Linked DNA regions of Caenorhabditis elegans. The protein of the gene in region 2 purifies or fractionates together with the protein of the main gene of each other region. This does not show direct contact. Each region holds a gene or a part of one and is shown on either strand. Other genes may lie near its edges.

Region 1 (6,740 bases), on a different chromosome or scaffold from region 2:
GATACTCTCGCCGTCCCAGAATACTTGTAACCAATCCCATCGCAGAAAATCGAGTGAAAATGAGAAAAAAAAAGTGAAGTCGACCAAATTTTATATGCGCCTCTAATTGTTTTTCTCAGAATTTGGCAGGGGGTGTCGTATATGAATTTGGATACTGTACAAAATTGGGTGAAAAATTATAAATATGCCGTTTTTGTGCATCTTCTAATTGTTATTGTCTACATGACTAGAAATTGTGATGAATAGAAAAAAAAGGGAACAATTTAATAATAATTCAGATTTTTAAAGGGTTATATGTATATCTTCCTAATAGTAAGTTCATTTTAATATATCATTTTTATAAATTAAAGTTATTCGACGCAAAAAACGGCGAAAATCGAGGCTTAAACTGCAAAAACAATTATTCGAAATGCTCTGTGACGTCACAAAATTTCAAAAAATATTTTCACGCTTTTCTGGCGCAGTAGAGCGATGGGACAGTCTGGCGCCACATGTCGGTGAACATTGGGTTACTGTAGCTCCAAAAGTATGTAAGTACTGTGGCAACACCAAATTTGACGACAAAATGCTGAAAATTTGTAAAATCACCAATGACGCTAAATTAGAATTTCGTATCGAAAATTTAAAAAAAATCAAATTTTGTAAAATTCCACCATAAAAAAAAATTAAATTCAAAATTTTTTGGACCAAATCTTTTTTCCTTAAAACGCGCCCAAACCTGGCTAAACTGCAATTATCAGTAGAGCGCGTTTACACTGATGTACCCTTTGCCGGGCCGTGTTTCAGCTAAATTCTGCTTTCTTTGTTAATAGAGCGCATTTGCTGTAAGCGGGAAATTTGAAATTCCCTCTTGAAAATATGACTTTTTTAATCATTTTTTCGCGGTGTTTTCGAGCTTTTCTTTCGAAAAATCCCGGATTTTCAATTGAAAAGGAGATTTTCTACTGAAAATGACTGGTATACTCCGATTTTTTACATTTTTCACGAGTTGAAAAGTTTACAGTCATTTATGAAAATTCAGTGTTCAAAAAGTGTCTCAAAAACCTATTCAGCTACTCAATATCCCAGTAATTCCACGTCATTATACAATTTATATCATAAAATAAATTCAAATCAAATATATGTTCAAGTGGAGGAGGAGAAGGAAAGTACTCGGATTTTTGGTGGGATGCCAACTGGTTGGAAACGTATGTAAATGTGAAATGCTACAGGAACACCGAGAACAAAATATGTGTGTGGGTCACGGAAAGCTGCTAGATAACGGGGAGAAATGACGACGATATGGTGAATAGGAGAGAGAAAATTGGAATACCCAAAAAACAAATAGACACAGGAAAACAGGGGAAAATTTGATAAAATCGACCGAAAATTAGGAAAAAAAACGACAAAAATTTGAGAAAATCAACCGAAGTTTAGCAAGAATTTTCCCAATTTTCAGGCAAAATTTCCACCGAAAAGCAGTTATTCCTCATCAGTGACATCGGAATCTTCATCGTCTGATTCATGTTTCATAAGCTTCCACACATCCTGCGGTGGACGCAAAAAGCCAATCACAACAGACACGTTGTCGGCACTTCCAGCCTCAATCGCTTTTGTACAGATGAAACGGGAGAGCTCCGCGTAGTCTGAAAAAATTTTTTTTCGATTTTTAAAGAATTTTCTACATTAAAAAATAAAGTAACGTCGGCTAATGTTTTTTACCTTAAAAATAATTTTGAATGGTTTTTTTAAAAATTGATTTTTTCAAATTTTAGTAAATTACCCGATTTTCTTTTTTAAAAATACAATAATTCGAAAATCTTTACTTTTTTTTTTGAAAACCCCCGAAAAATAGCCAATCTTCTGATTTTTTTTCAGAAAAAAAAAACGAAAAAATAGTTTTTGGCTTTGGAAATTTAGTTTTTCTCCAAGAATTTTTATTAACCTTCAACAGGATAATCATTCGCAAATGCCTCCACCAACTGGTACAGGTCACGCTCGTTGAAAACATCAGAAATTCCATCACAAGCCAGGAGCACCAGATAATCCGAGCTTTCAATAGGCACCTGACACGTTTCCGGTTCATTAGAGATCATCGGCCGTCCAGGAACATCTCCGAGTGCTCGGGTGAGATTTAGAACTCCGTTCACCCGCAATTCGCCTCCAATCACAAAAAGCTGGCCGCCAGCTTCCTCAACACGCCGAGCTTCCCGTTCATCGGATGGCGAGTGTCCACGTGTCAACTGACGGAATTCAATGTTCGACATGACGTATCCGGGTGAGTCACCGAGCCACGCCAGCGCCATAAGCTTCTGATCCATGTCGATTGCACAGCAGACAGCTGTACTTCCACCCTTCCAACACTCTTTCACACTTCTGACAGTCATTCGTTCGTCGAGAAGCTCCAGCGACTTGCGAAGCTGATCTTCGAGGCTATCTGAAGGATCTCGCGATTTTCGAACCTCCAACCATGTCTCCCAAAGGTGCCCGGCTGCGTACTGAGAGCACTCGTGACCACCGTGACCATCGAACACCGCTAACACCGAAATTGGATCCTAAAAATTTCATTTTTCAGTAATTTTCCAGGCCTAAAATCCTCCTAAACCTCTCCACGATCCATATATTGCCCATTAGGATACGCCAAAAACCGATCTTCTTGCTTGTGACGTTGCCCTTTCAGTTGATCGCCCGACACGTGGATTCCAGACCACTTTTCAGACAGAATCGGGCACGTTTCGGCGTTTTGCTGGAGAATCTTGTCGATCGCCGGCCAAATTTTGTCGTTGAATAGCTTTTTGGCTTCTGAAAATAAGTTGTATTGATGAACAGAAGTGTTGAGTTTTTGAAGATTTTTTAAAAATTCTATTTAACAAGTTTTATTTTTGCAAAAATTAGCAGATCAATGGGGAATGGCCAGCTAAAAATATTTAGCAGACCAATGAGGATAGGTCTGCTAAATATTTAGCAGACTCATGGTAGGTATGCTAAATATTTAGCAGACCCATAGGTGGTCTGCTAAATAATTAGCAGACCCATAGTTGGTCTGCTAAATAATTAGCAGACCAATGGGGATGGGTCTGCTAAATATTTAGCAGACCCAAGTTAGGTATGCTAAATATTTAGCAGACCAATGGGGATAGGCCTGCTGAATATTTAGCAGGCCCATGCTTGGTCTGCTAAATTAATAGCAGATTTTGCACATTTAATAATTACCTGTGGTACTATCGGTAACATAAATATCAGGATTATACTGAACATCTCTGAACGCAACTTCACTGAATTTCTCGTCAATTTCTGTGGCGATCAAGTGAGACACCCAGTGACAAAAGTCGACCGCCTGGCCTCTTTTCATCATTTTCTGGAAAATGTCGTGAATCGCGTCTCCGAAAACATCATGAACTGGTCCGGCGATTGGTGGATGACGGAAACGTATTGGAATATGCGGTTGTGGAGTGTCGGCAACCTCGACGTCATAGCTAGTTTTCTCCATTTCATCTGCAAATGCCTCCTCCAGAAGTGACCGGACACTTCGACGGCGATCGCCGATGTGATCCTGGAATATACATTTTTCTAACTAGCATTAAATATATAAAATCCCGTTTTCTACCTCGAAAACCGCATCCCGCTCCTCGTTTACTTTTTCCATGTATTTTTCCAGTTTTAAAACCACTACCGGCTTCGGTGGGACAGCTGGGTTGATCTGACATTTCAATAATTGTTTTTAACATAAAAATCAGAGAAAAACCGAGAAAAAACAATGGATTTCAACACAAAATGAGGAAAAATCAACAAAAAAATAATGCAGAATTTTCTGCACCAGAAACGCGCAAAGCTTCTCGTTTGCGCACTTTCGGTGCGTTGGCGCGTTTCTCGCGCGAAATATTAATTTAATTCGCATTGTATTGTATTAATAACATTTTTATCAAATCAAAAATGGATCAAAAATTTAAAATAAAAATCAATTATTCATATATATCCATGCGCGCCAAGATAATCCCACTCCACATTCGGCGTCTGTACTTGGCTGTCCAAAAGATCCCATTCCTTCACTTTCGCCCTCTCCGCCCAATTACATGCTTCATATTTGTGGATATATGTCTCCTTGAAATGCTCCCATAGCTCATTTGCCACGCGATACTGAAACTCCACGTGGCATCGGAATTCAGCGGGGTCGGCTCTAAGCTTGGGTAGCGAGTTGTAAGCTTGAACTGCGGCATTTTTTCTCAACTGGGCGTACTTATCGATTTTCCACGTGGTTAGTAAGAAGAAGTCCTTGTAAAGAATAAGAAGAGTATCGATGATTTCACCGGTTTCCTGGAAAAATCGCAGATTTTTCTTGAGTTAACTCAAACGCCATTGAAGGCCGCCTACCTCATCCTCAGCACCCAAATTCTGAAGTTCCCTGCATTTTCTCCGAATCTCGTACAACGTTTTTTTATACTTGTCGCGAACCTCGTTGTTCTCTACTTCAATGACTCGTTGTCCGGCGGGAAGCTGAATTCATTAATTCAGTTCTTGATAAATGTAATTTTGAAAAAAATATGTTTAAAAAACCTCGGCAACGTCAATTCTACCGTTATTCGAGAGGGTGATCGGTGTGCGCTTGTAGATTTCCTAAAAATTTATAAATTTGAGAAAATCCGTGCCCGTGATTAAGAATATTCTCACCTCAAAAATATCCGGTTTTTTGATAATCTCGTTACTTTTCGAGTAAAGTACACAGGGGCGTTCAACATTTTCCTCCTCGGGATTCACAGAGATTTTGACCTGAAAATTTCTTGAGCTTAGGTATAGGCATACGTTTAGGTATTGTCAAAGGCATAGACTTAGAAATTGGCATAGACTTAGGCGTAGGCTTTGGCTGAGGCCTAGGCTGAGTCTTAGGCTTTGGCTGAGTCTTAGGCTTAGGTGTGAGCTTAGTCTTAGGCTAACCTTTAGGCTTAAGCTTAGGTGTAGGCTTAGGTTTAGGCCTAGGCTTATGCGTAGGCTTAGGCTTGTGTCTCCAGGCATAGGCTTAGGTTTAGACTTAAGCTTAGATTTGTTTTTTTTTTCGAAGGTTTCTCAGCAAAAAAGATTGAAAACATAAGACTCTGAAAAAAAAACGAAAAATATTACCTTTGGGTCCCGTTCAGCAATACGTGGGCTCTCTTTCACCGCAACTGGGCCTGCCAGCTGATAGACGCTGGAAATATTATCTGTAGCTGAATCTACAGTGCACAGGGTTCCAAGACATTGCCCCATTATCGGTTGTGACAGGGAAATAGAGGATTACTTGGCGAAGGCTCAACTTGGTAGGCCGCCTAATTTACAGTACCCCACGACTGCCTTGTTTTCGACTAGTCCGGGTTATTTTTAAATTTTGTTGGAAAAACAACAAGAAAATTGTACAATTTCATGAATTTCGCTGGCCTGGTGAGTACTGTAAATTATGCAAAGTGATGGAAAATAAATATTGAACGAATTTTTTTCGAGCCGGGGAAACTTAGAGAATTAGTTTTCTAGCCTTCAAATCATGTTCCTGGGGTTTTTTTCCAAATTGTTTTTCTCAAAAATTTGTAAGATTAACACTTTTCATTTAAAAGCAATAATGATTTCTGAAAACCTGACACAAAAAGTTTTTGGTAACTGGGAAAAAACATGGGAACGTTGATGATAACAATTTGAGATCCAAAAAGAATTCTCGGGTGTGTGGAGGGGAAAAAAAGAAAAACACTCAAAAATGTCTGCACATTTTGAGTGCAAAAGAGCAAAAAAGCAACAAAAAAATAAAATTTTTAACATGAAATTTAAGAAATCTGCAATTCTCCTTCGACGACATCCTTCAAGCTGAGAATCTCCAATCTTCCGTGTCCCTTCGTCTCATTTCGGACCAAATCGTCCAAAGCTCTGAACGATCCGGGCTCAATGAGCCCAACCATCTCGAGGCTTCCATCCTGCCAATCGTCAACTTCCACGTCACTGAATAGGGTTTTAAGCTTCGTGTGCACGGATTTCGCTTCTTTTGTCGGAATCGCCACACGGATCTTCATCTTGGCTCGTTCGATTTTCAGAGTTTCACGAAGTTTTGGAATTGCGTCGAGAGCCTGCTGCTTTGAGGAACGATTCGGTTTCAGGGAAAAGTGCATTTCTTGTAGAGCTTTATCGATTACTGACGGTGGAACTGGACGCTTCGTTTCAGGATTTACGACCATTGAGGCAATCAGCTGGGATACCTGGAAAATTGAGATTTTTCAGGATTTTTTTGAAGAAAAATTAAAAATTTTCAGGAACTTGTTTGGGAGAAAATTAAGATTTTTTAGGAATTTTTAGAAAAAATTGGGATTTTTCAGGAATTTTTTTGGAGGAAAATTGAAATTTTTTAGGAATTTTTTAGGAATTTTTTAGAGGAAAATTGAGATTTTTCAGGAATTTTTTTGGATGAAAATTCACATTTTTCAAGAATTTTTTTATATAAAAATTGAGATTTTTAAAGGATTTTTTTTTTGGAGGAAAATTAAGATTTATCAGGAATTTTTTTTGAAGGAAAATTGAGATTTTTCAGGAATTTTTTGGATGAAAAATTACATTTTTCAGGAATTTTTTTGACGAAAATTGAGATTTTTCAGGATTTTTTTTGAAGAAAAATTGAGATTTTTCAGGATTTTTTTTGGAGGAAAATTTACATTTTTCAGGAGAAAAAAACTACCTAATTTTTTAAAAATTTAAAGAAAAAAACAGGTTTTTAGCCTGGAATCTAAAATTTTTTCATTTTTTGCTACGTG
Region 2 (7,514 bases):
TTAAATTCTCAACAGCAGATTGTCGTTCACTAAGAATGAATTCACCGAGGAGACGTTCATCGTTCGAGAGCTTCGTAATACGATGAAATTCGGCGATTTGATGTTCATCCTCACACAGGCATGCAATCATTGTCATTGGCTCGACAGTTTTTGAAAACCTATTAAAAACTGTATGAAATCTCTCTAGATTGCATTCCTTCGGAAGTCCCAGATATTTTTGTAATTCACATTGTTCAATCATCGCTTTTAACACCTCATCAGCCATTCTTCCAACCACAATCTTTTTGAGTTCTGTCCAAATTCTCTCGGCACTTATTCCCGCCATACCATCCTTGTTCTCTACAATCGCCTGAATTGTGTCGTGCTCGTGTTCCGTACAGTCACTGATTCGTCCAAAGAAACGGAAATATCTGAAATATAGAGATTTTGATAACAGGAAAATGTATGATAATTGTAAAAACCTAAGAATTCGTAAATAGTCCTCCTGGATTCTCTGACGAGCGTCTCCAACAAAAGCGATGCGCCGAGTTTCAATGTCTCTGATTCCACCGAAATAGTCGACAACGTTTCCATGAAGATCTGTAAAAGAAATTCCAATATTTCATGAGCAAAGAATATAATATTATGGGAACGCGCTCCATTGCCAATTGAAAAACTCCGCCCACAAACTATGGGTCTCGTTAGGTATTTAGCGGAAAGCCCGTGAATGCACACGTTTTCAATTAATTTCGGCGATTTTCTGTTGTTTTTGATTATTTTTCATTTCCTAATGATGATTTGAAAAAATTTATGCGGATTTGAAAGGTGAATAATGGGTTTTCATATTACTATAAATTTTAAATCCAATTCCGTATAAAAATTATTTTTAAAAACAGGAAAAAACAGAAAATGTTTGAAATTTGGCGGAAGTGCCGAAACTAATTGAAAGTTTCAATTTACGGTTTTGCTGACAATTCCTAACGAGACCCATGGTTCGGGGGCGGAGTGCTTTCAATTTCCAATTTCTATACTAACCCAAAAACAGTGAATTGATAGTAAGATCTCTTCTATTTGCATCAAGTTGCCAGTCAGTTGTGTATTCAACTTGAGCCCTTCTTCCATCACACACAATGTCTACACGAAGCGTTGTGATCTGGGAAAATGTATATAGATTAAATTTATTAAACTAAAAACTAAATACCTCAAAGTTTTCACAATCGTCAATGCGACACGTGATTGTTCCGTGCTCTTCGCCTCTTTTATGAAGCATTCTAATTTTATCCTCTTCGAACATTTCCTGAATAAAATATATTTTTTTTGAGATTTGGAAAACAATTAAAACCTTCATTTGAGTCGGTGTTGCAGTACTGGCAAAGTCAACGTCAGCCGGTCGAATGTTCATAAGTAGATCTCGAACAGCTCCACCGGCAATTCGAAGCTCATAATTTCGTTTGGCGAATAAATCACGGAGTTTCAAAAGTTGAGGTGTGAAGAGAGTTCTGAAAAATATAGAATTAAACTTAAAACGATTCTTCAAATATCCGGAACTTGCCGAAAATCTTCATTATCAATTTTCATTGTAGTTGGCTCAATTTGATTCATGATGTATGTTGGAGTTTTTGCTGTTGATAGACTTCTGGTTGTTAAACTAATTATTGTAGTTGGGGTCAAAAATTTAGACACAAACTTCATAAAGCTGATATTCACTCACTGAAAAATTACAGGATAATTTGGAGAAATCTCCAATAGAGATATTAAAAGAAAATCACATATAGACGGATGACACGAATCGATATTTATTATTATGAAATAATTGTTATTAACCTACTTAATCGAATGACGTCTGGCATAAGTCGATAAAACGAAGACAAAAATTTTAAAAAAGGCAATGTCGAGGGTAGAACTTTGAATTTTGACAAGTAGTTTTTACGAAAAATGAAAGCGAAAAAAGAGGGAACCGACAGGGACTAAAAAGCTCATTAGATCAAAAAGAAGTCACATAAGGACTAACATACTGACTGAACTATTGTATAAAGGAAATCAAAATCTGGGAGTAGTGAGCCCATCATTTGAATAAAAATATAAAATCAATCAAACCCGATAACTTAATGGGAAACAATCGAAAAGAGAAAGAGAAGAGTGTGAGACAGAATCTGACAAAAAATAGTAAAAAAAAGAAAAATTATAGTGGCGGGCCGGGATATAACGAGTTGAATAGACACATAAATTCGTTTTTCCTCAAATTTGACGTTTCAATACTGTTGGCTTTTGACTATATTCCATGATATGATAGCATTGTTGATTTAAAAATGAGGGCATCGTGTACAATATTAGTTCCTAAGCAAGAACATTCTATGTACAGGGGCAGAGATTCGAGAATTCGTTAAGGGTATACAGCATCAAAGTCGAGAAGGATAACTTTGGTCTCCTCGGTGTTGTTACGAGATCCGACTGCACACGCTAGCATCGTAGAAGTAGAACAAAGTCTCCAAATACAGCCACCATTGCCTCCAGAATCCAAAGTTACTAGATCTCGAATCAGTGCACCTGGAAAATTTTTTTATGGGTAAAACTATCTGTAATTTATGTGATCTAACCTCTCTCAATATCCCACAATTTGACAGTTCCATCGTCACTACTCGTTGCTACCATATTTCGTCCAAACCATTGAAGTGAAGTGATAGCGGATCGATGTCCAGAAAGCATGTGTACACAAGTTCCCTCGTGAATATCCCATACCTGAAAAAATGATTTAAAAAAATAATACAATTTTTCAATGTTCTCACAATGTGAGGGTTACTTTATCTACTACGCTTTTGTGCTTTTCCATACTTTTGAAAATCATTTCAGATCCGTACACCTTTGTTTGCCATCGAATATTGGCTTTTGTAGAAACAGCCGCAGAGAGACAGAAAACGCAGTGAAACATCAGGACCAATTTTATTAATTGGAATTGGTCTCTAATTGTTTAACAGGAGAGCGATTCAGACTCTCGTACAAATGTTTAACTATGACAAGTTTCTCAATCTTACATCTCTATACTTACTCTAACATGGCTATCTGCATTGCATGACACGAGAATATTGCCTCGAAGTTGCATTCCGGATGTAAGTGAGGTGTGTCCTTGCAAAAGAGCCACACATTCTTGGCCTTCCGGTCGTGTAAAATCCCACACGCGAATTGAAGTGTCCAGAGAGCCAGAGCACACGATCGATCGCTCGCTTTCAAACTGAAAACAAAAACATTATTTTTCGGATTTTGTTATAAGAAAAACGTACGAGAAGAGAATAAACTCTATTGTTATGACCGGTCAGAGTACGGATACATCTCCCAGTATGAGCATTCCAAATTTTAACGGTAAAATCATATCCTCCCGAAACAACAGTTGTTCCATCGAATTGAACGCATCGAACGGCTGCATGATGGCCATGTAAAGTTGCCAGGTGACGTCCGGATTCTACGTCCCATACACGAAGAGTGGTATCTCGTGATCCAGTGACAAGTCTGAAAGTATTAAAATTAAAATGTATGGGTTGAAAGTGTGGTTATTCAGCGAGATTTTTCGTTTTCTTCTCATTTTTAAGATAGAAAATGTATTAAAAAAGTCTTAAACAACCAAATACACGTTCGTGTTTTTCTATTTTGAAACAAAAGTTTTAAAAAAATTACCATAAACTTTTTTTGTGAAATTAGATAGAATAATTTTCTTAAGATATAAATGATCTACAAATCAAAAACTTTCCATCAAGATTTGATATAGCTCGCAAATTAGGGAATTCAACTGTACGAAACCCGAAATTTTCAGTATTAAATTTCTTTTTCCAAGCAGTTATCATAGTGAATAGCCTTACATGGAACCAGCCATAGCCATGCATCGAACAGTGGAAGTATGTCCTTGAAGTGTATGAAGAAGTGAACCATCTACAGTACTCCAAACTTTTACAGTTCTATCAGTGGACCCGCTAACAATATATCTTCCGCATTGAGAAATCTGTGATGTCCAAACTCCTCCAGTGTGGCCGACTAGTGTGTACATAACCTCTCCTTTGTCAATACACCATACTTTAAGAGTGTTATCGTCAGATCCAGTCACCAAGACATCATCATGAATTTGCATACAAGTGATTACATGATCTTCGTGTCCTCGTAGCACTGCTGACCCCATAATTGGATTCGCATTCCAGTTCTTTTCAATTTTATCGGCTCGAAGATAACGTGACTTGTCAGCAGCGCGTTCGAAGATACTGAAAATAAATCGAATGTGATCGGAACGTCTTTAAAAATAATATTTCCAATAAACGTACTCTCCAAACTTCTGCAACTTTAGAAATCGATGAACATTAAGATCACATGGCTGAATGTGATCAGGAATAGTGACTCCAGCAGCAATTGCAGTTCCTTGCCACGCACCAGTAACTCGGTCTCTGAAAAGATAATACTAATCTCAAATAATTCCCGTTCAAAAGTATTACGTGGGATCTGGATGATGTTTAAACTCTTCGACACCAAGACTCTTCCAAATTTTGTCAATTTCAGATATCAATTTCCAATTTTTCGACACCTGTGCCACTTTGAGCAGGTCATATCCGGTTAAATTGTGAAGGATTTTCATTCCGAGCTGAAAAAGTTATATTTATAATTTTTCTTTCCGTTTCAACACAAATACCTCGACAGGGAGGCAGGAGAGGAAATCACGCTGGAAATGGGGTTCAATAATGGCACGCAGCTGTCGAATATTTGTCATGTTGGATTCCTGAAGCAGACGTGTGAATGCATCCATTTGTTCCGCGCTTGATAGATCCTAAAATGAATTCAAATTACACTTTTTTTCAGCAAAAATAGAGCGAATATGCCTGGCTGAGGTGCTCTCTTCAAGGTTTGGAAAAATCAATAATACACAGGTCACCCTCACCGGAGCTTGAATGCATTGTTTTGTCATGTTACTAATTATTGTCGCATTCAAATATTAATTTATTGCATGTGTATTAGCCGCAACGCTGAAAGATTGATCGCGACAATCAATCAATATGTTTACCTTGAATAATGCGATCAAATGTTCGACACGCGGATTGAGGTCGTTGTTTCGAGAGGGAGAAGCCGATAAATCAAGTTTGTGTTGCAAAGGTCTGGAACTGGTACGTTTTGCTATAAATATTCACTACAAAAAGGCTTACGACGATAATTTGTCAGCATTGTAGCTGGAAGAAGAGCCATTGCTGTACGAGCTTTCTTCTCCATTGTCCTGAAGACAAACATTTCAATTAGAATTAAATTATATTCTGAAAAGGGTTGTAAATGTTAACATACATTATATTCCATATCATTATCGGTAACAGGCTCCTGGTCCTCCGGTGTCATCGATCCATCATCCATGTGTACATCATTTCGTGGCCACATATGGCTGAAAAAGAATTGGAAATGAATAAAGGACAAAAACTACTGGGAATGAAGAATTTGAACACAAAAGGAAAGTCGATAAAACTATGATTTTCGTGAGAAAATGAGAAGAGAAGATGAAAGCTTTTTGCACGCGATATGCGTCAAGGCATCCAGTAGTGCGCCAATAACCGCTTGACGCATTTTCCGACGCGCACGTTTGTTCACTTGATGTTCACACGATGAAACATTTTCTATGCATATAAAGTGTATAAAGTTGATAAGATAACTTCAACAAATATTCTCGTGTAAAATAAAATATAAAATGTCCGACTTGTCGGTCACATAATCAGTTTCACAGAAGAAGCAGGTGTTCGATGGTCACTGCTGTTGCATATGACAGCTGGGTTCTCGTCCTTCATGATGGTGCAGAAAAATGTGTTCAACCTTGTTTCAAAATCATTTTTACGGAAAGGTTGTTTCGTATTGCACAAGTAAACCATCCTTATAAATTTCAGGATAATAAGGAATTTAAAAAACGAACTGCATCCCACGAAAACTCTTGTTTTGAAATTTTAAACTGAGTATATTAATTCAGTTTTTGAATAAAATAATACATATAGGTAATATGGTTTTTTAAAACAAGTGATTCAATTTACAACCACAAAAGAAAAATGATTTAAAATCTGTAACATTCTGAACGTAATGTGGTATTTCCATAACTGAATTCAAAAGAATTATGACCATCTGTGGCTACCGAGGGGGTAATTTTATGGAAATGAATACCATAAACTGACAGAAAAAGAGACACGAACACCTGCCACAATTGGAAACAATCGCTTTGGAATTTCTGTATAATATTTCTTCACAAATGTCAAGAACTATTTCTGATATGATAACACATTCATGACTAAACTGCAATTCCCATCTGAAATACGTTAGTTGAGTCATAGCTCACTATTTGCTCCATTTCTTTGTTTTTCACACTTTATTGGCTTTGTATTGCGGGGGGACGAATATGAAAGAATTGAGATGTGATTGAGAGGATTCAATTCATAAATTGTACTGATATTTATCAGCGAAAGTTAAAATTCATATTTGTCAGCAACACATCACATTTGCAAGATATATATTCAATATGCTAGAAATTGCACAAAACCGAAAAATACGATTATTTGAAATAGCCTACATTCTCTGAAAACGGAAATTCCGATTGTTCGACTTCAGGAGGAGCCACAATTTCCAACACTTTTGATATGTTTATTTAGTGAAATAAAAACTGAAATAAAATCCAAATCTATTCAAGAATGACGTTGGTATCAGACAATAAATTCGTGAAATATATTTTTATTTTCACGCCTTTCTACCTATATCATTTCGATAAAAAAAGGACGACGAAACATGAAAATAATTAAATTAAAATAATTTGGCAATTTTGATACTAGTCCAGCTCCAGTATGTCAAAAAATTCGATTAGTTGAAAGAGACCTGACCAATTCGGAAATTTCTGTAGAACGATTTTGGAAAGCTGAAAAAATGTTTTCTTGGAAGATTTTCACATTATAATTAAAATTTGAACTGCAAAACTATAGAAACAAAAACAGAATAAAAATGAGCTCTAATTGTAAATTTAAGGATAAAATCAAATACCAACATCATACGTGTTGCCAAAATTTAGGGTTTTCGGTATGGTGTCTAGAAAATGAAATAGTGGGTATACCTGATTTAAAATTAAAAAGTGTTCAGTCTGTTGTTAAGACTATTATATGTTGCCCACAAATTATTAAAAATGGGTATTTCAGAAAAACAAATGTATTATTTTTGTAGAGCTTTATTTATTTTCAAATATAAATGGCCAACTTACAAACTTTTTGATTACAATATGATGATCTGTTTGTTGGTTTATCGAAAAACGGCATGTTCAGAAATTGCCGAAATTGAACATTTTTTAGAAAATTCCTTGATTACCGCCCACCCCTACAACAAAAGAACTACGGTATTTACTTTCTGATCCGATTTGAAATTCTGGTAATCTACGTGTGTTCAAAAGTTGAAGTGGAAGCATCAAAAATGGATGCAACTTTGAAACTACTTTTAGGCACAATTTAATTACTCCCATTTTCATCCGAGATCATTGAGATCCAGACACAACCATCGTT
Region 3 (6,595 bases), on a different chromosome or scaffold from region 2:
ATAGACTAGGTGGATGGAGTATCTGGAGATGGCTACTTGGAACTTCGGAGAAGATGGGAAAGGTCGTTTATCAAATTGGCAGAGATAGTATTATTTTAATTAGAATAGGTAGGTGACATCAAAAAATAAAACACAGAAATTACCAATTTGGGGGAGTTGTTGAAGATTGATTATTAAATTCGTAGTTTCTTTATAAAGTGCTCGATTCTTATCAAGAGGAACTTGGACATCAAAATTTAAAGATTGTAAATTATAAAGTTTAGAAAAATCTAGCCTGTATAATTTTTCTTAGTTTAGCAAAGCTTTAAAAATATATACAAAAGATTGGTAAAATGCGACTTACTTTAGAACTACAGAGAATTTCATATAACTATAATACATTGGAAAAGCAAAAAAAACCATAAATAAATGAAATATGTTATGACCATCTCGGTAAATGAATGATAGAATGAATTAATGCATATAGATCGAGCATCCATTAAAAACAGATCGTTGTTAAAAAGGCGGGACTGGTGCTGTGGAGGAAAGGGTGACGATCTTGGGATTGTTAAGAAAGTTGGCAGATGATGTATCGAATGGGAAAATACGAGTTTTCTAGCACACGCGAATATGTGTAATGTATATCAGTTGAATAGAAATTCAAATTATATTCATGTGGAATTGTATCGATATGTATCCTTTTCAGCATGACTTTTGTACTTTTTTATTCAGAATGACAAAAAAATATTAAAAATTGAAGGAAAGATGCTACATTATGAAATTGATGGTTATATTGGAAAAATATAACTTTCGAAATATTTTACCAATTGAGTCGTAGTAGACTAATTGCCAAATAGTGGGTTTTTTGTAGTTCGGCTTCTAGCAATGAGCAATAAACGTTAAATCAACTGAAAATTACACAAAAACTCGTAAAAGCAACTGGAACTCTTAGTGTTTCATTCGAAATGTTTCGAATGCCACACCCGTACACATTTGAATGAGTGTAAACCAACTGCGCACTCAACAGATGCTATTGTTTGTCTACCAGAGCGCACTTGCGTAGCGTCTAACCAATTGTAAGCAGCTTAATCGATATTATCTATACCTTTATTTTAAATTAAACAAATCTTAAAACAAATTAAAGTGATATGGAACCAGCTTTTTTTAGCAGTGTACCATTATGACATTTTTCAAAATGTAAACCAGAGGATTCGAAAGTGAATGACACAAGAAGCGTTAGTGAGATAGAAGGCAAATCGGTGATATTAAATAGGAAATCTGGGTAAAATATAGAGAGTTAGACTTTCAAATGAAATAATATTAAAATTAAAAGCAAATCATTATAACAATTGATATCATCGTTTCCTGGAGCAATCAGTAGCATAAACATTCATAATCCGAACATCATCAGAATAATGAACTTCATAGAAACGATTTTGATATTCTTCAATATCTTTTTTTCTTTTAATTGTTTCATAATAACCAGATACATCTAGAGGTGAGTAGCGAGAGATTTCAAACGGCGAAATTTGTAACTGTAGACGGGAAATTGAGAAATCATCAATTGCCAAGTCGAATATGATGTCTTCTGAAATTAGAACAAAACATAGTTGTGAAAGAAATTTTTTAATCGAAAAAGTTTCAGAATGGACTCTTTTTAAATGTGGAGAATTTAGTAATACCGAAAACGTGATTTTTTAAAAATTTTTGCTAACATCCGGGTTTGAATTCAATACAAAAAAATGCCAAAATCGAAAAAGCATGTTTTCAAACGATGGATTTTTTATGTCGATTTTTTGTCTTTCTGTTGTAGAATTTAGAAATTTGCGACTATGAAAACAAAAATTCCCTTTACGCTATTCGACTTTTGATGATTTTTTAAAGTTTCGCTTTAAAAAAATTGTGTTTTATATTTTGAAAAACATGTCATGTATATACTTTTAAATTATTTTAACAATAAATTCCTACCAACATTCTCCATGGCTAAACGATAGTGCTCAATACGTGGAAGCCCTCCAAATCCAGTTATGTCGCACCAAATCGTTGTGTGATATACAATCTACAAATGTAAAATAGTTTTTAACGCTTAAAAGCTTTAAATTAATATATGAGTACATAAATAACATTTTTAAAATGCTTACTTCCAAAATGCAGAGCTTCGCAAGCCAATCCAAAACCGTAATAATCTCATTTTCCAGTGGTGGCATTCCAAGTGCTTCATGAAATCTTCGAGCATAAAACTTTGAGAACTCTGTGCCACGTGGAACCACAAACGTAGTATGATACTTGGATTCATCTTCGTTCCAAAAATATTCGGGTGGATAAAAAGCGGCGATATTTTGAACAAGGCGTTGACCACGGGTAGCAGCGTAATTATACATTTGGGAATTGTTCCAAAACTGTGGCATTCCCGGAATATTGAAATAGAGTGTATGAAGAAGAGACGTGTAGTGATTGGAAAAGGCCGTACAATTCGGATCCGGATTGGGCTGGAATTAGGATTTTAAAAAAAGTAAAATACAAACGGAAATGCGCCGTTGAAGAGTACTGGAATTTCAAGATTTTGTTTTTGTTAAATTTTCACCGGTTTTTACATGTTTTCCTGATTTCTTAAAATCCCTGTTTTTTTTTGGTAATTGCGTAATTTTAGTTTTTTAATTAAAACAATTTTCCGAAAAACTAAGAAAATTCCGCAGCGACGAAAGTTTAAAATTACAGTACTTATTAAAGGCACACACCCGTTTTTATTTAACTAAAAATTGTCGTGTCGAGTCGGATATCCCTTTTTTGGTTCAAAAATCGAAAAAAAAATCGGGTAAGTAGAGCTTGTTTTAATTTATGATAAAACAAGGAAACTCACTAAAAATTGTCGAAAATACATGTAAAACCGAAATTCATCGCGATGAATCAAATCTTGCAACTCGAATCGAGTTATTTGACTGAAAATTAAAATTTTATTTTATAAAATTTCAGATTCGCCTCACACTTTCCCGTTCCGCCTTGCCAAATCATACATAAAATTGCAATAAGTTACAATTGTCTTCATTGTTCTTTGAAAAACGAATCGAGTAATTTCATCATTCCTTTCATATCCAGCACCGGCTGTTATTAATTGAATTGAAGTAATTTCAAGAAATCGATCAATTGAAAATTCATCCCAAGGATTTTGATCGAGAAGACTATCATCATAATACGTAGCTCCTGTCAATCGTTGTCTTTGTAAAGGAATTCCAGATATTAAAGGCCAATTGAGATCATCTACTGTTAAATTAGTCACTCCACAGTACTCGTCGAATCTTCTCATTTGTGCACGGAATTTGACATTTCTTCTGAAAACCTAGTTTTTGATCATTTTAGTTTGACTGGATGTGAATTAAAGAATTTAAAACAATTTCAACAAAAAAAAACATTAAAAAATTTAACTTACTTTAATTTTAGTTTCTGAGCTCTCGTTTCTCTGTCAGCTTCTACATCATCTGAACCCGGATCCACCTCCATTACAGTTACAATTGAAATAAATGGAAATCTCTCTTATTTTTACATTGAAATTTCTTGCTGGTCACTTCTTCCAATCCACCGTAGTTAACCGACTGGGTGGTCTACTACCCGTTTCTGGTTTTCTCTGCACTCTCTTCGGAGAGAGTGCAGACAAAATTCTCCGCGTTCGCAGTCCTGGTTCTGTTTCGAGACGTTGACGTCGCCCGACACCACTCCTACAACTGTTCGGACAGCGTCTGCAATTTTCGATTAGTAATATAGTTTTGGTTGTGAATATAATATAAATTGTGAAAAATTGCATTGAGAATTAGGAAAAGAGCATGTGAGAAGAGGAGGGGAATTTTTAGAATAACTGAGAATATAATTTAGAGAAACACGATTACTTCGCATCAATTCAGAATATCTTTTAAAATCTGAGAAATTTTGGTTAAAAAATAACACAGGGCGCTTAGTTTGTGGTTTTCTCAATTCTGTTTAATTTTTAAAACAGTAATTCTTATTTCGATAAACTAAAATGAATATGAAATTTTCTTACGATTAAAAAATGCATGAAACCAGATATAACAAATTGAAGGAAAACTGAAAAACTTCAGAAAGTGTTTTTTTCTGAAAATAAAAGCAGAAAAATTCGAAGCTCGCGCAAAGAACGTAAACGCGCTCCATTGCTAACTCATTTGAACATTAGTTTTTTTCATTGGGCTTTCAATCTTGTAAGTGATGTTTAGGCATCTAAAAGTTTTATAAATTGACAAAATCCAGCTTAAAAGATGCTATCAAAAACTAACTTTTCAGAATATTTATTTGGCTAATGTTTGACCCATACGTTTTTTGCCGAAAAGAATTTCAAAAATGAAAAGTATCTTGAAATGCATCAAAATCCGGGAATATTGCCGATGGTCAGTTTTTCAGCATTTCTAAATTGAGAGACTGAAATGGGAATTTATTTATTTTTATTCATCTGCTTTTTTATTTCATGAATATCCGCATCTGAAATCAGCTTTTTTTTTCAGGAAAATTGATTGAAAGAAGACAATAACAGCTCGTTGTTCAACATCTCGATTCTTCCATATGAATCGATGAATGGAAAAACCGTGGCATTTGGTAAAGTTTTGGCTGGAACCGAAGTTGTCTCCCGCATCGCCTTCAATAAATCAAACACGAAGGGTTCCAAGGCTTGCGTCATCACCGACTGTGGAGAAGTTATCTGAAAGGTTTTATCATAGATTTTCAAATTTTTTGGTTTATTATTATTTCTTTCTTTTTGTTCCGATAAGTCCATATATGAAATTTGTCCAGTTTTTATGAAAATAAACATTTATTTTATTTAATATTTTTTTATTCATCATATGCATGGGGGTTATCATCCTCGCTGTACTTCTGGCTTCGGCGACGGTGATCGCTTGGCTGCTCTACAAACACTTGAGAATGCGTCAAGCTTTGAAGGTTTGATTTCAAAATAAATTTATGAATAACTTCAATAAATTTTCAGCATCTCAATCAGCCACGATCATACCCAATCATCGGTCACGGACTCATCACCAAGCCAGATCCAGAGGGATTCATGAACCAAGTGATTGGAATGGGATATTTATATCCAGATCCACGAATGTGTCTTCTGTGGATTGGTCCATTCCCATGCCTGATGCTCTACTCTGGCGACCTTGTTGAAGCAATTTTCTCGTCGACGAAACATCTGAACAGGGTTCGCATACGTTTTGCTTGAACCATGGCTTGGAATCAGTATTTTGACGAGCCAGAAAGAACAATGGCGTCTTTTTTTGATTTTCTTTTATTGAAGATTTTGGTTCAGAAATTGTGTTGCCTTGGTGCAGAGTGAGAATTTCAATTTATAATTACTTATTTCAAATGTTTATTTTCAGTGAAAGAGTTGATGTTCTCTCCGTTATCGCCCTTTGTACTCTTGATATCATCTGCGAAACTTCCATGGGAATAGCTATCGGCGCTCAACTCGCTGAGGTTTGGGAAAACAACTCTAATCTCAACATTTCTAAATACTTTTTCAGAATAACGAGTATGTATGGGCAGTGCACACAATCAATAAACTGATTTCAAAGCGAACAAATAATCCTTTGATGTGGAATTCATTTATTTACAATTTGTACGGTAGTTTTATCATTAATAAGGTCAATTAATTTGTATTTTTAGAACAGAGGACGGACGGACGCATGAAAAATGTCTTCATATTTTCCATGATTTTACGAAGAAATTGATTGGCGAGAGAAAATAAGCACTACAGGAGAATGATTATAAGATGGAAGGTCGTCTCGCATTCCTGGATCTTCTTCTCGAAATGGTAAACAGTGGACAAATGGACGAAACAGATGTTCAAGCAGAAGGTAACACATTCATGTTAGAGGGTCACGATACAACATCTACAGGATTAATGTGGGCAGTTCATCTTCTGGGAAATCATCCCGACGTTCAGAGAAAAGTTCAAGCGGAACTGGATGAAGTAATGGGCGACGATGAAGATGTGACTATTGAACATCTCTCCAGAATGAAATATCTTGAATGTGCATTGAAAGAAGCTCTGCGTCTCTTTCCATCTGTTTTAATTATTACGAGAGAACTGAGTGATGATCAAGTAATTGGAGGCTTTAATATTCCAAAAGGAGTCACTTTTCTGCTCAACCTGTACCTTGTTCACCGCGATCCTGCTCAATGGAAGGATCCTGATGTTTTCGATCCGGATCGTTTCCATCCTGAAAACTCAATTGGTCGAAAATCATTCGCCTTTATCCCATTCTCAGCTGGAAGCCGTAATTGCATCGGTCAACGTTTTGCACTTATGGAAGAGAAGGTCATCATGGCTCATTTGTTGAGAAATTTCAATATAAAAGCTGTCGAGTTGATGCACGAGGTGAAAATTGAAAGCGCCGCTGATTGGGGAGACTTGCATTTTTTGTATGATTAAGCAATTTAAGCTGTATCCAATATATTGAAAATTATCGCGATGTCTATTTTCTCGCTGAAATGTTTCATTTTGCAATTTTAAATTGCTCTCATAAATAGGCACTATTGAAAATAGAATATAGAAAGTTTTACTTTTTATTTTGAATTTAAAAAATGTTTCTTCTAATGTAAAATTTTTTTCAGT

What was found.
Region 1: the proteins of sel-10 (region 2) and fem-2 purify together in Caenorhabditis elegans (affinity purification with western blotting, with the first as the bait; one study listed by BioGRID). This does not show direct contact.
Region 3: the proteins of sel-10 (region 2) and fem-3 purify together in Caenorhabditis elegans (affinity purification with western blotting, with the first as the bait; one study listed by BioGRID). This does not show direct contact.

What each region holds. Positions count from the first base shown.
Region 1 is NC_003281.10:630,948-637,687, forward strand, and holds fem-2 (Protein phosphatase fem-2), read right to left. Parts: upstream 3,680-6,740; 5' UTR 3,626-3,679; coding exon 3,587-3,625; intron 3,533-3,586; coding exon 3,193-3,532; intron 2,782-3,192; coding exon 2,585-2,781; intron 2,535-2,584; coding exon 1,925-2,534; intron 1,626-1,924; coding exon 1,462-1,625; 3' UTR 1,072-1,461; downstream 1-1,071. Other genes in the region: T19C3.6 (uncharacterized protein), read right to left, coding at 1-40; eakr-4 (EAK-4 Related), read right to left, coding at 3,946-4,293, 4,351-4,473, 4,534-4,593, 4,648-4,746, 5,095-5,220; sbds-1 (Ribosome maturation protein SBDS), read right to left, coding at 5,766-6,191. UniProt on the Caenorhabditis elegans protein: Dephosphorylates auto-phosphorylated Ca(2+)/calmodulin-dependent protein kinase unc-43/CAMKII in vitro. Involved in the regulation of sex determination.
Region 2 is NC_003283.11:13,817,227-13,824,740, reverse strand, and holds sel-10 (F-box/WD repeat-containing protein sel-10), read right to left. Parts: upstream 5,381-7,514; 5' UTR 5,377-5,380; coding exon 5,287-5,376; intron 5,222-5,286; coding exon 5,154-5,221; intron 5,112-5,153; coding exon 5,015-5,111; exon of another isoform or gene 4,892-5,014; intron 4,781-4,891; coding exon 4,646-4,780; intron 4,598-4,645; coding exon 4,452-4,597; intron 4,404-4,451; coding exon 4,284-4,403; intron 4,224-4,283; coding exon 3,831-4,223; intron 3,484-3,830; coding exon 3,258-3,483; intron 3,209-3,257; coding exon 3,026-3,208; intron 2,719-3,025; coding exon 2,577-2,718; intron 2,527-2,576; coding exon 2,363-2,526; 3' UTR 1,761-2,362; downstream 1-1,760. Other genes in the region: hpo-31 (CCA tRNA nucleotidyltransferase 1, mitochondrial), read right to left, coding at 1-410, 462-579, 1,015-1,132, 1,181-1,276, 1,322-1,478, 1,532-1,581. UniProt on the Caenorhabditis elegans protein: Probable substrate recognition component of SCF (SKP1-CUL-F-box protein) E3 ubiquitin-protein ligase complex, which mediates the ubiquitination and subsequent proteasomal degradation of target proteins.
Region 3 is NC_003282.8:9,102,084-9,108,678, reverse strand, and holds fem-3 (Sex-determination protein fem-3), read right to left. Parts: upstream 3,714-6,595; 5' UTR 3,478-3,713; coding exon 3,407-3,477; intron 3,317-3,406; exon of another isoform or gene 3,309-3,316; coding exon 2,964-3,308; intron 2,919-2,963; coding exon 2,840-2,918; intron 2,469-2,839; coding exon 2,121-2,468; intron 2,039-2,120; coding exon 1,948-2,038; intron 1,568-1,947; coding exon 1,335-1,567; 3' UTR 1,072-1,334; downstream 1-1,071. Other genes in the region: C01F6.14 (Ovule protein), read left to right, coding at 4,558-4,782. UniProt on the Caenorhabditis elegans protein: Required for male development. In XO (male) animals, fem-3 directs male differentiation in all tissues. In XX (hermaphrodite) animals, it specifies the first 80 or so germ cells to be sperm. Negatively regulates male development when bound to tra-2.